Linked DNA regions of Kluyveromyces lactis. Each later gene encodes a partner of the first gene's protein in a complex. Links are inferred from orthologs where the notes say so. Each region holds a gene or a part of one and is shown on either strand. Other genes may lie near its edges. The genes, in order: MRPL38, MRPL39 and MRPL9.

Region 1 (5,461 bases):
CAAAGCTCAGATGATACCAATATGCTTTCACGTTTCAATACATGGGAACCAGACTATCTTGGTAAGCCACAGAAGGAATCAGTATTGAAACTAGACGATTTGCATTCCCAAGTGGCTCCTATCCCTTTACCAAATGTTAAAAATGAGCAACAGCCTCAAATTCCTATAGCAAGACCGAGCTCATCATCGTTATTTTCTGCATCGTCTCTGAGAACTCCACCTGCCCAAATTGAAATATCAGAACATGACCTAGATAGAATTATGAGATCTATTCCATCGGATTTCATCAATATGCCATTTTCCCAACGTAAGAAGATCATACAGGATTTAAGTCCCAACCATGACTATAAGACTATTATGAACATTTTGAAACGTGAGAAATTAAGCCACAGTGGCTCAACACATAACGTGAGATCCAGACATGGATCAGTTGCATCGAAATACTTGAACTCTTTTACCCCCGGTTCTAGTTCTTTCAAGAGGGACGATAAAGGGTCTTTCATTTTGGGTCATAGACTTGGCAAAATAATAGGGTTCGGCGCTTGGGGTATGATCAGGGAATGTTTCCCTTCTACAGATGAATCTCAAAACCAGAATAATACTTGTTGCAAGGCGATGAAGATTATCAAGTTCAAGGACAATCGAAGTGTAAAGAGGCAAGTACTACGTGAAATCTCAATATGGTCGAAACTTTCCCACAATAATATTCTTCCTTTAACAAAATGGAAATTAGACGATGATCTGGTGGCATATTGTTTAACAGATAAGATCGATCATGGAACCTTATACGATTTAGTTGTTTCTTGGGGCGAATGTGGTAATTCAAAGATTAGTTTAAGAGAAAGGTGTCAAGCTACATCCGCCTTAGCGTTACAATTAATTGATGCTGTACAATATATGCATTCTAAATTCATTGCACATGGAGATATAAAGTTGGAAAATTGCCTTCTAGAAAAAAAGTCTGAGAACTACAAAGATTGGAAGCTTGTATTATGCGATTTTGGCATGAGTCACTTTTATGGCCATTTCAAAGATCAGATGGAAAATGAATCAATTCAACTGAAATCCCTATTTGATGGGTCTACTCTTCACTTGAAACGAAGACCCTCAATTCCAAGATCTTCCTCTTCAACGAATAATTCTTCTTTACGGTTGAAATCAAGGTTAAGACAAATAGTGAACGATAAAAAATTAATTCATGATGATACGACTTTGGGTATTCACTCCGTACCAAAGAGCACTCGTTCTAACCTAACCAGCTCGTTGAACCAAAAAACAGACATTACATTAACACCTAACAAAGATTTGCATGAACATATCAACGATGACATGAGCAGAATTGGCTCTTTACCATACGCTGCTCCGGAGTTACTAGAACCCAACCCTCCTCCCATTGGACCAAGCGCTGATATATGGGCCATTGGTGTTTTAATTTTCACCATGCTTACCGGCAAATTACCTTTTAAACATGAATACGAGCCCAGACTTCGTGCAATAATAACTTCAGGTAAATATGATAAAACGACACTACGCCAAGTTTGTAACTGTGATATGAACTCGAACTTGGGTGTAGATGACCAGGTGGAATTCCAAGGTCTATTCAACGCAGTGAAGGGCTGCTTAACGAAAGACTTAACCCGGAGATGGGAACTTGATATGGTGAAAGTAGCTCTGGGTAAGCATTGAAACTAATCCTAAACTAACAAAATATTTTCTACTATTCTGTCCTTGTCAGTTATAACCCTTAATTTTTAATTCAACAAGCATACCAATAGCATTAATAGTAACGCATACTGTTACATTGACCTTTTTTCTGATGTTTTACCATTCTCAACAGCATAATACTTAATAATTTTACTGAAGTATATAACGATAACTAATGAAAACACCAGCTGTCTTAACAATGACGGCGTTGTAAGCACTTTATTTGTATGTAGTAAGCGTTGATAATGGCGTTGATTAGCCAATAATAAATCAATCACGTGATATACATCAATTATGGGTTAAGAAAAAATTTGATGAAACCAGACATAGAAAGCTTTAATCCTTTCTCTAACGATAGTCCAGGAAGAAAAGCTGTGCTTTCCCGATCAGTAGCAGCCTGCAGCACACGACCTAACTGAAGTTCACACTGTGACTGTTATAACATGATTTATTTGAAGTCTTTTTTGAAAGTCATTGACAACTCAGGTGCTCAAATTGCCGAATGTATCAAAGTACTTGGAAAAGGTTCGCCAAAATCTCCAGGTAGAATAGGTGACAAAATCGTCTGTGTGGTGAAGAAGGCTAAACCATTAACACAAACTATTACTGGGCAATCCAATAACAACAGAGTGAAGAAAGGTGATATTGTACACGCTGTGGTGGTACGTACCAAGCAAAGAAATATGATACGTCCTGATGGATCAACAATTGCGTTCGGTGACAATGCTTGTGTATTAATCAACAAGAATAATGGTGAACCTCTAGGGTCAAGAATTATGGGTAACGATGGTGTTGTCGGCAGAGAACTAAGGGAAAAGGGCTACAACAAGATTTGCTCTCTAGCAAGTAAAGTTTTGTAAATATGTTTCACCACTGGTAAATATCGATTACGACTGCGCAGGGCTTTTAGAATCATGTATATAGATAATAAAAAATAGAAAATATCGTTAGTAAAGTTTATGAAAATGCCATGATAAATATGATGGATACGCGACTACCAACTTATTGCTCATTGACAGTGATATCAATATTTTATAAGTGTTTCAAAGAGATGTATGTTTATCTTAAATATAGATAAAAATGATGCGAAAGAAACTAATCTAAATCTGCCAAAGTAGCAAGGCCTTCAGCTATGAAACAAATTTTGGTGTTACACCGGCCTTGGTGGATATGTAACGCAGCATTTTGTCCTCTTCATCCACGAACTTTTTAGCAATGAATCCACCGTTATCCTTTTATTCGGATCAACTTGGAAGATATGATAAAGTGCAGCAGTTCTGTACCGGTTCATACCTGGAGACACATGTTTCATTTCGTCAAATACATAATATTGTCCATGTTTTTCCATATCCTCGAGGAATGCGTCATATACTGAATCCTTGCCTTTGATAGCAATTTTCCATAAATAATGGCCTAAAACCATAACACAGTAGATAATACCACAGCTCCAGCAATCAACTAGTCTTGGATCGTATTGTTGTTTTGGAATAAACTCCTCAGGCGCAACATAAGGCTCAGATCCTGCTGGTCCGGTTTGGAAATGTGCTTTCTTTTCCCAGGCTGTTTGGAACACAGAACTTGTACCAAAATCACATATTTTTAATACACCTGTAGGGAGAAATAGCAAGTTTTCTGGTTTAATATCACAATGAGCTACACCGTGAGCATGCATGTATTGAATACCATGTAGTAGTTGTTTCATGAAGCAATCTGCTTCTAATGGATGTAAAACTGAATCAGATTTTGAGCTTCTTGTAATCAAGCTGTATAGATCACCTGAAGGGCAAAATTCCATTACTTCATAAAATGCGTTAGGTGTTTGCATTAAATCAATAACGTTTAAAATGTTAGGATGTGTTCTTGCCGAAGATCTTCTGCTTTTGTTACCACCACTCAACGATAATCCTATCACAAATTCTGAGGTTAGTCTTGTGCTAAACTTCTTTGGAGGCTCATCAGGTCTTGGCTTCAGTTCTTTTACCGCATAGAATAACTTGTTATCATGGAAATATGTATTATCTTTCAGATCAGGTTCATCTGGGTCAATAAATTTATAGCATAGTTTTACAACCCCATAGGCACCTTGTCCAATGATACCGATCGACTTCCCGTATTTCTCACATAAATGCTGCTTTCGTGGAGCAGAAGAAGGTTCATTGGAGGAAACTGCATCAGACTTAGAGCCCTTCAAACAAAATCCGTTATCGATCTTTTCGGTTAATTGGTTTATCAGTTTCAATTCGTTAGCACCAATGACGGATTTTTCGTTAACAATCTTTGGTACATTGGCTGATTTATTTGGTCCCTTATAACCATCTTCATCAGATTCGGATTCGTCATCAGATGGGTTCGAATTTCCAGAGGACTGGTTGTCATAATCCGCATCTGAATCGGAATCAACACCATTATTTCCATTATGCTCAAGTTCCTCATCCGCATTATGATTACCGTTTTCCTCGTCTATTATCTGACTGAGTCTCTTGTGGAAACTAAACCGGTTTGCTGGCAATAACGACAATGCTGTCGCCAAATTCTCTCCATCATCGGCAATGGTACGGTGAGTCTTAAAAAAACCAGAAAATGAAAACGAGCTCTTAGGTTTGTTCAAAGATTGCTCTAAATCATGTACTATAGGCACCACTTTCAAGTGGTGAGCATGATGGCCATCAGGATAGACACTAAACTGATCCGACTTGTAAATAGCTCTAGATTCAGACTCGTGGCTCATAAGCAGATCAATACTTGATGTATTAGACCTTTCTCTATTCTCGACTGGATGATTGGGATTTTGACCAGGATTAGACAATGCCCTTGGACGTAGTGAAAACGAGTTCAGTCTCTTCCGTTGCGTTGATCTCGATCTTCTCAGTGACGAAGCTTCTACGGTGTCAGGAGATTTTGAAAGCTGTGTATCAATACTACCGCATACCATCTCATCCAAATCGCCCATTAGTTTTTCTAGTAGTGGATATTTATTATTTGGCTCTTGCTCCTCATTTGAAAAGGATGACGATCTATTCGATGAGCTTTGCCTCTTCCCGAAAGCCAGGTCTGTCGACTCCTCATCCGACGCCAGCGGACTTGTCTCGTGTATGACGTTTGGATCCACTTGTCCAGTACCTGCTCTAGATGTGAGCGACAATTTCGCAAGATTGGATAAACTAACATGTCTTGTAGGAGAGAGGCTCGGTGACGCTACACCTCTCCGACTGGTCTGCAACTCTTTTTCTTTATTAGCAGCTAAATTCTTCAATCTATCCTGTTTATCTTTAGTGGCCAAGGTGGGGACTTCCGGAGTACTGATACTAGATGGTGCAGCAGCAGCAGCAGCAGTAGTAGGGCCAGTATTGGCGTTTCCCCCTCCTGACTTGAACAACCCTTTTAACGACTTTGAAATAGATAGAGACCTCTTCAAAGAGCTTTCTCTGGAAATACGGGGCTCAGAAGAGTCCACATTAGATGAAGCCATTATGGATTAAATCAGCAAATGAAGATATCAAATATGAAATAAAACAACAAGGAAACGTTTAAAACTCTAGAAATCTGATATCAAAATGATCGTTAAACCTATCGCTTCCCTAAGTGTTGTCAACGTACGAAAGGGTGCCTTGCTTATATGTTTTTTAAAAAACCCTCTTTGATATGATATTTTACCCTTTGATTTAGAAATCGCTTATTGATCTTATTAGATAAAATAAACGCAAAACACTTGTTGATTAAGCAGAATAATGCCAGAATATCAGAATTGCAACTATCG
Region 2 (5,630 bases), on another chromosome or scaffold:
TGACATCATTCTTTTTCCGCATAACTACATTATCTGGTCAGCAATGACTCATCGGTTAATATTGTCCTTAACGTAGCCAGAGCTGATGTTATATATTAAAGACTACATAAGGTACTAGCTGCCCGTTCGTTATGAAGTGATGCAGACTGATTCATCGGCTACTTAAGTACTTTTGAAATACTTAGGCGAGAGTTACCCTCTATTTGTGATCCTTGAAAAATTTCAATCTAAACTTCCCAATTTTCAATACAAAAATGGTAGTCCACGCTAAGTTGTAATGATGATCAGTATGCATTACAGTTCGCATTCACGATACAAAGCAACAGTCAGTAAGACGTCATGAGCGGTACTGCTGAGGAATCCGATAAAGCAGAGGCTGTTTCTGTACCTGAAACAGTTTCTGGGTCAGTTGAGAGTCAAGATAAGGAGCATAACTCTACTTCATCTTCGTCTGATTCTACAGATGTGGTTGGAGGCAAGAAAAGAACTATCGATGAAGTTGATGGGAGTTCTGAAAACAACTCTGCATCTGTCGATCAGTTAAAGGACGCTCCTACTGATTCTAAACCAAAGACAGAGGCTACTGAAGATAGTCCAATTAGGGGAAATCAAGGGAACAATCAAGAAAACAGTCAAGAAAACAAAGACGATGAAGATGATGAAGATGACAATGACGACGATGACAATGACGATGACGATGACGAAGATGAAGATGTCGAATCATATAGGAAGAAGCAACGTCGTGAAAGAAACAGATTCTTGGATATTGAAGCCGAAGTCAGTGAAGACGAAGACGACGAAGAAGATGAAGAAGATTCAGAACTAGTTCGTGAAGGTTTCATTACTCGCGGTGACGAAGAAGACGAAGAGGATCGTGGTGGTAGAGTTGATGACAGACTGCATAGAGAATTAGATCAAAATCTTCAAAAAACTGCGGATGAAGACATGCACAAGATCGCTGAAGACTTCAAGAAACGTTATGGTCGTGACTCTTCCAAAGATTACCGTGTACAAACTCAAGGTGGGTATGTACCTCAGAGGTTTATGTTACCAAGTGTTGATACTGCTATTATTTGGTCCGTTCGTTGTAGACCAGGGAAGGAGAAAGAACTAGTGAGAAAGTTGCTAAATAAGAAGTTTAACTTGGATAAATCTATGGGCTCTAAAAAATTAAAGATTCTGTCCATCTTCCAAAGAGACAATTACACAGGAAGAATCTATATCGAAGCTCCAAAACAATCTGTTATCGAAAAATTTGTCAACGGTGTTCCAGATGTCTATTCTAATCAAAAGCTTTTGATTCCCGTGCAAGAACTACCTTTACTATTAAAGCCTACCAAGTCAGATGAAGTGAGACTTGATGTTGGTTCTTATGTTAGAATTAAAAGGGGTATTTATAAGAATGATTTGGCAGTCATTGATCAAATTAGTCAGAACAACTTAGAAGCTCTATTAAAGATTGTACCCAGATTAGACTACGGTAAAAATGACGAAATCGACCCAGATACAAATCAGAGAAAGGCAAAGAGAGCAACGTTTGCTAGTAGGCCTCCTCCTCAATTATTTAACCCTACTATGGCATTAAGGTTAGACCAAGCCAACTTATTCAAAAGAGATGACAGGCACTTCACTTACAGGAAGGAAGATTATGTTGACGGTTATCTTTTCAAATCTTTTAAGATTCAGTATCTTGATACAAAGAATATCCAACCTACGGTGGAAGAATTATCAAGGTTCGGCAGTAAAGAAGGTGATGTCGATCTAGCAGCTATTGCTCAAACTATGAAAAAAGCTCAAGCTTCTAAAGCTATGTTTCAACCAGGTGACCGTGTTGAAGTGTTGACCGGGGAACAACGTGGATCTAGAGGTGTGGTGACTAGAAGTTCTAAAGACGTCATCAGCGTTAAACTATCGGGCTTTTCAGATAAATCATTAGAGTTCCCAATTGCATCTCTAAGAAAAATTTTCGAACTTGGTGACCATGTCACAGTAATAGCTGGTGAACATGAAGGTAACGCTGGTTTGGTTCTTTTGGTGCAGAACGGTCAAGTCACATTTGTTTCTGACCAAACTAGAGAAAATTTGACAATCTCTGCGAATAACTTGAGTAAATCTATGGATTCTACTCCGACATCAAGCGAGTACGCTCTACATGACATTGTTGAGTTAAGTGCCAAAAACGTGGCATGTGTGATCCAGGCTGGACATGATATTTTCAAGATTATTGACGACTCCGGTAAAGTGGCTACTGTTACTAAAGGCTCAATTCTTGCCAAGATCAATGTAGCAAGAGCGAAAGTAGCTGCTGTCGATGGTAATGGTAGAGAAATAAAAATTGGCGATGTAGTAAGAGAAAAGATCGGTTCCCGTAGAGAGGGACAAGTACTCTACGTTCAAAACCAACATATTTTCATTAGATCGAAAACAATAACGGAAAATGCCGGTGTTTTCGTTGTTAATCCAATGAATGTCGAGGCTGTCGCCTCAAAAGAAAACTTGATGTCGTCAGCATTGGATTTATCTAAAATAAATCCAAATATTGCGTCTAAGATGGGACCACCACAAACTACTCAGCAGACGCGGTTAGTTGGCCGTGACGTCGCTTTGAACAAAACTGTTAGGATACGTTCTGCGGGATACAAGGGGCAGTTGGGTATTGTCAAAGACGTCAATGGAGATAAGGCTACTATTGAATTGCACTCCAAAAATAAGCATATTACAATAGACAAAAGAAAACTTACTTACTTCAGTCATGAAGGTGGTGAAGGTATAACATACGATGAACTTGTTAGTAGACGTGGTAGAACTCCACATACCAGATTGGGCCCAAGCTATGTCAGTGCACCAAGACACATGGCTGCCGGTGGTGCGGTGGCAACGAACACTCCGCAACAACTTCCTGGTGGAATGACTCCTGGTTGGAATGCATTTGATGGCGGTAAAACTCCTGCGGTTGGCCAGAACGGAGGAACTTCATCCTGGGGTGGTGCTTCGACATGGGGCGGACAAGGCCCTGGTGGTGCTTCTGCCTGGGGTGGAGCTGCTGGAAACACTTCCACCTGGGGTGGGCAAGGTGCTACATCAACTTGGGGTGGTGCGTCCACTTGGGGTAATAAATCTAGTTATGGAGGCGCCTCTTCTTGGGCAGCAAGCGGAGAATCAGGAGCAGCTTCTGCCTGGGGCGGTGGCAATAAATCAAGCTATGGAGGTACTTCTACCTGGGGTGGTAACCAGGGAGGTGTCTCTGCCTGGGGTGGCAGTGGTAATAAATCACAACGATCTAAAAACACCGGTGGAAGTTCCACTTGGGGTAACAATCAATCGCAGCATAACTCAGGAGAGAGATCCGCATGGGGCAATGCATCCCAACACAACAATAGCGGCAATAGATCTGCTTGGGGTAATCAGGATGCTAGAGGTGGTGGAAGTACGTGGGGTGGAAATAATTAGAAATAATCATACAAGTTATTGCCTCACGATAATTTACAAACCTATCAATTGTTCATCTTATTATCTCCAAATTACTCCACGCGATGTGGATGTTGTATATATAGTCTTGCCCAAATTAGTCTCAGAAACCAATTAAATAAGTGAATTAAGTAAATGTAATTTAGTTAAAAATTTCGTTTCTTTACTACAAACCGATACTACTATAGAACTCTTAAATCACGTCTATTTCAACGGTAGTTATTGCAGTGTGAGTGTTTTCTATATACATGCAAATGGTGTGGTTAAATTGTTAAATACAATTCATTAACGTCTTGCGGTACGTAAGAAGTCCAATGGTTTCCTCTCTGCAACCTTTCTTTTCTTGGCCTCTTTGAACAAAACATGACGTTTAGCTACAGGGTCGTACCTCACCTGCGTCACTAATGGTGCAGCTCTATTTATCGTGACATGACGGCTCACACCTGTCATAGCAGTTGATATCAGTTTGATAACTGTAGTCTTTGTCTTAGCCTTGGCCATCGTTTTCCTGTTCGTTTGCAGTTTATATATGATATCCTTAGCTCTGTGAAATTCCTTGAATTTGAATTTGAGACAGAGAAGTACGCAGGATAATATTACTTTCTGCCCTTAATACTTTCCGATGATACACCGTCCTATGCAGAAATTGATGAACTCCCACTACTTTCAGTATTGATTGGGTCGGATACATTGCTAAAGAAGAAGTAATGGATAATCAAAATTTTGTCAAATCACTACATACGTTTTGATGAATATGCAATATACATAAAAATGATCCGTACTTCATATCACGTGAAACAGATACATATTCACAAGTCAAGTTAAGTATTCGCATATAGTTACTCTACGCTTTTATCAACAAGAAGGTATTAACTGAATTGATTGGTGTACACAGTACGGTATAATTAAGGTAACTAATTAGTGCTGGAGCTTACGGATCTCTGTTACACCCGTGCAACACGATATACATTACTGATGAAAATTTTGAAAATTTTCCAAAGCTCATCGCATAGAGACAGAGGCAAAATCAGCGAAAGAGAAGAGAAAAAAATGGAAATTCAAATGAGTTCTAAGTTACCTGCTAAAATAAACGTAATGGTAAGGTGACCCTAGAAGGTGCATAGGGTTTCATCCAGCTGTTTGATAGAAGAAAGGAGTATACTGCGCCAAGTGTATCCGATTTACGTGTTTCAATAAAGAACTGAAACAAAAATTTGAGACTATCATCTGTGCGAAGTTTTTTTCTTCAAAGAGAATTAATTGATATCGATCAGATTATCTACAGACCCATAACTTGAAAGGAGGATATTTGACATACCTCAAATCAGAATTGGGCTTCTTAATTGTTGATAGTATAACACGCGTCTAGAAATTAAAGGAATTTTTTCTACAATCCTATTTTTTTAAGGAGATAATACAAAGATTCACAACATGTCAGCTATTCCTGAACCAAGAATCATCGAGAATGACGATGGTTCCAAAACCGTCATCAGTTTCAAAATCCAAGATGGTAAGAAGTACAAGGTTACGCAGAAGGTTAAGGAAATTACTGTCACCGAGAAAGTTAACAAGAACATCGCCTTGAGAAGAAATTGGAAGAAATATGGTGCTGATAAGGGAGCTGCCCCAGGACCAGATATTTCAACCACTCAATTAGGTGAAGAATTAGAGTTAGACTTGTCTCCTAACTGGAAGGAAATGGAAGAAGAAAAGGCAAAGGAGAAGGCTGCTAACTCGACTCAAAAGGTAATTACTTGTAGAATTTGTGGTGGTGCGCATTTCACCATGCATTGTCCGTACAAAGACACTTTGGGAAAGAAACCTACTACATCTGCTGGTTTAGACCCGGCTATCGGTGGTGGAGATATGAGCGCTCAAGGAGGCTCTGGCTCTGGCAGATACGTGCCACCATCCCTACGTGCTGGTGCTCGTGATCCATCTTCTAATGCTTACCAAGACCAAAGAGAACGTGATGATGCAAAGACTATTAGATTGACCCAGGTTAACGAACTTGCAGATGAAGAAGTGCTTAAAAGAGAATTACTCTTCCCATTCGGTGAGATTCCTAGAGTATTCGTCGTCAAGAACCCAGAAACTGGTAGATCCCGTGGTGTTGCTTACGTTACTTTCCAAACTGAAGAAATTGCTGCTCAAGCTTTGAA
Region 3 (6,023 bases), on another chromosome or scaffold:
AGTTATATAAGTCCGAAAGGGAAGTACTTGTTTACTTGACGCATTTAGATGTTCTTGATACTGAAGACATCATGTTGAATAAATTGGCAAAGCAACTTGATGGCTCTGAATGGTCATGGCACAACATCAACACATTGTGTTGGGCTATTGGTTCTATTTCTGGTACTATGGACGAGGAAACTGAGAAAAAATTTGTCGTTACAATCATTAAAGATCTTTTAGCCTTGACTGATAAAAAGCGCGGTAAGGACAACAAGGCTGTTGTTGCATCGAACATTATGTACGTTGTCGGTCAGTACCCACGTTTCTTAAAAGCTCATTGGAAGTTCTTGAAGACAGTCATTCTAAAACTATTTGAATTTATGCATGAAACCCATGAGGGTGTTCAAGATATGGCCTGTGACACCTTCATCAAGATTGTACAGAGATGTAAACGTCACTTTGTCGTTCAACAGCCAAACGAAAGTGAACCTTTCATCCAGGCAATAATTAGAAACATTCAAGACCACACCTCCGATCTTCAACCTCAGCAAGTACACACATTTTACAAGGCTTGCGGTTTAATTATTTCTGATGAAAGAAACCCAGGAGAAAAACAAAGATTACTAGCAGATTTGATGCAACTCCCTAACATGGCATGGGACGCTATAATTCAGCAATCATCTACTCATCTGGATATTTTGTCGGACCCTGAAACTGTGAAAATCGTTACCAATATTCTAAAGACAAACGTTGCCGTTTGTTCCGCTATGGGTAATGACTTTGCTCCGCAGTTGAGTCGTAACTTCACACCAATGATGTCATTGTGCTCAGCTGTGTCTAGATGTATTTCAACACAAGTAGCCAGCGATGGGATTATTGCTACTAAGACTCCAAAGGTAAGAGGTTTAAGAACAATCAAGAAAGAAATTCTAAAATTAATGGAATTATACATTTCCAGTGCAAAGGATTTAGACTACATCGTAAATGACTTGGCATCAGCACTGTTTGACTCTGTGTTACGGGATTACTACATTACCGTACCAGATGCCCGTGACGCTGAGATTTTAAGTTGTATGACCACACTTGTCAACAAAGTTGGGCCTATGATGATCAGCGGTGTCATTTTGATTTTACAGAGTGTCTTTGAAGCTACATTAGACATGATCAATAAAGATTTCACGGAATATCCGGAACATCGTGTGGAGTTTTATAAATTATTGAGGGCCATCAACTCCAAGTGTTTCGTAGCGATATCTCAACTACCACCACCGGCTTTCAAACTTTTCGTTGATGCCATATGTTGGGCGTTCAAACACAACAACAGAGATGTTGAGGTAAATGGGTTACAAATTGCTTTAGACCTTATTCAAAACGTTGATTCCGCTAGTCCGTCTGAATTCTCTAACGATTTCTACAAGAACTATTACTTCACATTCCTTAGCGAAACCTTCTATGTCCTCACTGATTCAGATCACAAATCTGGATTCAGCAAGCAAGCTCATCTTTTAATGAATTTGATTGCCAGAGTAGAAGAAAATAGAATAGCTGTACCATTATACAAGGAAGATGAAGCTCCTGCAGTCACTTCTAATCAAGCTTACTTGGCTAACTATCTAGCAACCATGTTAAGCAATGCATTCCCTCATTTGAGTGGTGAACAGGTTATGAACTTCATTCAAGCGCTACTCAAACAATATCATGATCCAAAGCATTTCACTGGTACTATTAGAGATTTCTTGGTCCAGATCAAGGAGTTCGGTGGAGATCCAACCGATTATTTGTTCGCAGAGGACAAAGAACAAGCTCTCGCGGAACAACATAAACTTGAAAGAGAAAGAGCTTCCAAGATCGGTGGGTTATTGAAACCATCGGAATTGGATGATGATGAGTAAAGATAACACCTTACAGAAATGTACAGCATGGTCAAGAAACGAAAAAGTTTCTGCGGATCCAATGAAAGCTGAAACTAACACTTGTCAAGCAAGGCAAATATATACATAGCAGGCCGTATATCTTCCCACATAGAGAAAAAAATTGTAATCAATTCTCTCCGACATATACCCAGGATCCAGTATCAACGTATGAAAGCCATTAAATATCTGGTTGAAAAGGACACTCAACGTTGCAGCAGTTACTATTTTATAATTGGTGTATATACAGGTATAGATTGTTAATAATAACCGTAGAAAGGCATGCTTTCCAAATGATTTCGGGACGGTGTCTAAACGACTGAAAAGATTCAATTTCTTAATCACAGTTTTTTATACTGGGGTTGGCTTTTTGATAGCATCTTGGATCTTAACGAATGCACCATTTGGACCTGCGACAGAGCCCTTCACCAAGACAGTACCTGTTTCGTCGTTGACGTCCAGCACTTGCACGTTTTGAATTGTTACAGTGTCGACACCCATATGACCAGGCATCTTTTTCCCAGGCAACACACGACCAGGTGTTTGATTTTGACCGTAAGAACCACCAGATCTGTGAGATACGGAAACACCGTGGGATGCCTTCAAACCTTTGAATCCATAACGTTTCATTACACCTTGGAAACCCTTACCTTTGCTGATTGATCTTAAATCAACGTATTGGCCAGGCTTGAACCACGAAGGTTTGATTAAAGAACCCACTGGTAGTAGTCCAGATTCGTCCTTGACTCTAAACTCGGTAACTTTTTCCTTTGGATTCACAACATGTGCAGCGAAATGTCCCAACATTTGTCTGGTAACATTCTCCGGCGACTTGTTACCATAACCAATTTGGCAAGCCCAGTAATTGTTTTCAGCTGGAGTTCTGTGTAGTATAACTTCGTTATTGTCCAACTGAAGTACAGTAGCTGCTATACGTTTACCAGTCTCTTTCTCGAAATACGGCATCATCCCTACTTTTTTACTCAAAGCACCACAACGTAGAGGTAATCTTCTTCTCTTTAGCGCATTTTCTGGAGAATGTTTAATATCTACAGGATCTAGATGAATGCTGCTTGCCACGGATGGTGCGACTAACTTGGCACCGTTCGATACTCCACTTTGTGAGAAAAGTCTTGTCCAAATCTTCGACGAAGGACTGCCAATAAATGCCATTATTCCCCAATTTTCAAAGACTGGTCGATTGATAACAAATGTGTCAATCCAGATAACCTCTTGGCAATGCTGGAGAAACTGTAAAGGATTTAAAATGTAGTTTAAAGACTCTATTGAAACCTGTTTCCATCTCTGTATAATTGTTAAAGCTGTTTCGATATTGAAAATTTTTTGAATCGATAAAGTTACCTATAGATCACGTGATTAAAACGGCACGTAGTTCTCTCACTGATTTAACACAAATTAAGTGTGCCCTTGACGGTTATTGGAAGTGTATGTTTATGCTTCTGTATTTACATGTTATTTAATATTATAATAATTATAATCATCATTCTATCGTCATCATTTGATCTTCTTATCCTTGATCTTGATAGTTTCATTGTTAACGTAGATACCTTTACCCTTATATGGTTCTGGAGGATGGAATTTTCTCAAGTTGGCAGCGAAGAGTAGCACTTGTTGCTTGTTGACACCTTCCACGATCAACGACGTGGGTACCGGAGACTTAACTATGATTCCCTCTGGGATAGGTAGGCCTTGTCTTACCGACGCACCGACTTTGACGTTGACAAAGGTGTTATTTTCCTCCAATTGAGCTCTGTAACCGGTACCAACGAACTTCAGAACAGCCATATGGCTCTCATTCACGCCTGTGATATGATTATTTATATGAGATCTTACCGTCCCCCACATGGATCTTTGCGTCTTGTCGGTAGAATCCTTCACTGCAACTTCGATTTTTCCCGAAGATCCATCCTGCTTTATCTCCACGAAATCTGGGATTTCCATATCAATCTTCCCCAAAGGACCCGATACAGTTACGTTCTGAGATAACTTAAGAGATTTGTTACCCTTTCTGATGATCTTTGGCAGTTTCATTGATTCCACCACCAACTTGGTCTCCGGTGTCAAATACACCGGAGAAGAACCAATATGTGAGCGCAGAAGAGCCGACACAGAAAAGAGTCTTCTGGAAACAAATGTCATGGTAATTGTGTATATCCTGGAAATAGTCTAGCCCACTTTGCAGCCGCTATATGACTGGGTATATTAGATCAAATGCGTCTATATCAATCTGTTCTTCCAGCACTCATCTCTATGCGTCTTTCAACCAATTTTTCACTTGGAATCAAAATTTTAATAGTGAGATAGTATGGGAGGGTAACTTTAATTGCTTTGACGATTGTTAAATAAGATATACTTAGGCTGTTACTCTCGATTGGTGACCATCTAGGCCACTCCTGGGTCGAAATGGGATGTGGAGACTGCTCTTCGTCGAAACACAGGAGTAAATACCTTGTGCTTATATTATCCTGTGCATCACGTGACTTGTTGATCTTTGCCCTTTCTTTTTGAAAAATTTCAAGCTCATCGCCTACGCATCGTCATCTCATCTCAATTACTGAATGATATAGCAGGCTGAAGTGGTTTCAAGAGCGTTCAGCAAGTCATTTGGTGGTCTCATAGCCAATATAAGGATAGGATACTCCAAGCAGATACACTAGGTAATACAGTATGGTAAGAGCATTGAAACATCATGAGCAGAAGCTTCTCAAGAAGGTCGATTTCTACGAATGGAAACAGGACCAGAACCACAGAGATACGCAGGTGATGCGTACGTACCATATCCAGAACCGTGAGGATTATCATAAATATAACAGAATATGTGGTGATGTGCGTCGTTTGGCACATAAGCTATCGCTTTTACAACCTACAGATCCCTTCCGTATCAAGCACGAGCAGCTCTTGCTAGAGAAACTATATCATATGGGCATTCTTTCAACAAAATCCAAGATATCAGCACTAGAGAATAAAGTTACAGTCTCGGCTTTCTGTCGTCGTAGATTGCCTGTAATAATGCATAGATTAAAGATGGCACAGACACTCAAGGATGCCGTTCAATTCATTGAACAAGGTCATGTTAGAGTAGGACCTAACTTGATTACAGATCCAGCATATTTGGTAACAAGGAATTTGGAGGATTACGTTACATGGACAGATTCATCCAAGATCAAGAAGACTGTACTACGTTATAGAAACGCGGTCGATGATTTTGACGATGCCTAGATTGATCCTGCTATACTTGCCTTCGGAAGTAGGAAAAAGGGCAAAAACTATTATTTTACAAATTTGAAAGGAAAGTAAGTAGTAGTGGTATATATGTATCATAAGAAAAAGTATTCTAATTACAATCTTTTGCTTCGAGCTCGGTTCCAATGTATATGGATATGCCGGATAATGCATATAAACACGTAAGGATTGTATTCAACAAGACTCCAAAAGAGGTCTAAAAAAACAGAATGGTAAAACAAAGGGAAATAATGCTCCCTTTACATGACATTGTAATTGTGTGATGAGCCCAACTGCTTTCTTAGATCTTCTTGCGATCCGGAGTGCGGTAGAATAGTCCCCATGCTTGGTGGATGCATAACGTCGGTGTCGTCAAGAATACCGCTTACTCTCGATTTAATATAAGTGTCTTGTAACTGTTGTTGATAAGTGTTAGTATTTGACATCAAACTGTTGGATCTTGAATCCGCTACAGCACGAGAGAATGATCCAGCTGGCTTGAAAAGGTTATTTTGAGACAACTCGTTTGGATTTGTCATCACCACGGATTGTCTCAAATGATGAGGTAATACCTTGCTTCCTGCAGAGTTAATTTGTGATGGTGTTGTATTGCTGGAGGCTTGATCTGAGGATAATCCCAAATCTGATCCGTTTGTTTGGTGGAAATAAAGTTCTGGATGGTCGATTGGATTGTAGTTATGGTTATTTTGTGGTGTCATAGCTGCTGCTGCTGGTGACTTAAGGGTGGTTTTTGATTTAAATGACGTTAACGAATGAGAGGAACCGCTAAATGGTAAATTAGATGGTCGTGGGAGCTCTTCGATGCTTTCCATATTAGGAGGGGGGAGATTATGCTGTATTTGGTTGTGATATGTTGGGAAACTTCCA

Evidence for each region.
Region 2: MRPL38 (region 1) and MRPL39 share a complex: the UniProt entries of both Schizosaccharomyces pombe proteins name them as parts of the mitochondrial large ribosomal subunit. The link is inferred for Kluyveromyces lactis from reciprocal best matches to the Schizosaccharomyces pombe genes mrpl38 and mrpl39.
Region 3: MRPL38 (region 1) and MRPL9 share a complex: the UniProt entries of both Schizosaccharomyces pombe proteins name them as parts of the mitochondrial large ribosomal subunit. The link is inferred for Kluyveromyces lactis from reciprocal best matches to the Schizosaccharomyces pombe genes mrpl38 and mrpl9.

Annotation. Positions count from the first base shown.
Region 1 is NC_006037.1:612,832-618,292, forward strand, and holds MRPL38 (mitochondrial 54S ribosomal protein uL14m), read left to right. Parts: upstream 1-2,147; coding exon 2,148-2,564; downstream 2,565-5,461. Other genes in the region: protein kinase NNK1, read left to right, coding at 1-1,686; putative serine/threonine protein kinase KKQ8, read right to left, coding at 2,855-5,173. UniProt on the Schizosaccharomyces pombe protein: Component of the mitochondrial ribosome (mitoribosome), a dedicated translation machinery responsible for the synthesis of mitochondrial genome-encoded proteins, including at least some of the essential transmembrane subunits of the mitochondrial respiratory chain.
Region 2 is NC_006038.1:66,062-71,691, reverse strand, and holds MRPL39 (mitochondrial 54S ribosomal protein bL33m), read right to left. Parts: upstream 3,970-5,630; coding exon 3,754-3,969; downstream 1-3,753. Other genes in the region: RAD33 (Rad33p), read right to left, coding at 1-22; transcription elongation factor SPT5, read left to right, coding at 340-3,450; TIF35 (translation initiation factor eIF3 core subunit g), read left to right, coding at 4,900-5,630. UniProt on the Schizosaccharomyces pombe protein: Component of the mitochondrial ribosome (mitoribosome), a dedicated translation machinery responsible for the synthesis of mitochondrial genome-encoded proteins, including at least some of the essential transmembrane subunits of the mitochondrial respiratory chain.
Region 3 is NC_006041.1:1,424,582-1,430,604, reverse strand, and holds MRPL9 (mitochondrial 54S ribosomal protein uL3m), read right to left. Parts: upstream 3,066-6,023; coding exon 2,244-3,065; downstream 1-2,243. Other genes in the region: exportin CRM1, read left to right, coding at 1-1,874; MRPL6 (mitochondrial 54S ribosomal protein uL6m), read right to left, coding at 3,408-4,052; snoRNA-binding rRNA-processing protein IMP3, read left to right, coding at 4,581-5,132; KLLA0_E15973g (SKG-like transmembrane protein), read right to left, coding at 5,396-6,023. UniProt on the Schizosaccharomyces pombe protein: Component of the mitochondrial ribosome (mitoribosome), a dedicated translation machinery responsible for the synthesis of mitochondrial genome-encoded proteins, including at least some of the essential transmembrane subunits of the mitochondrial respiratory chain.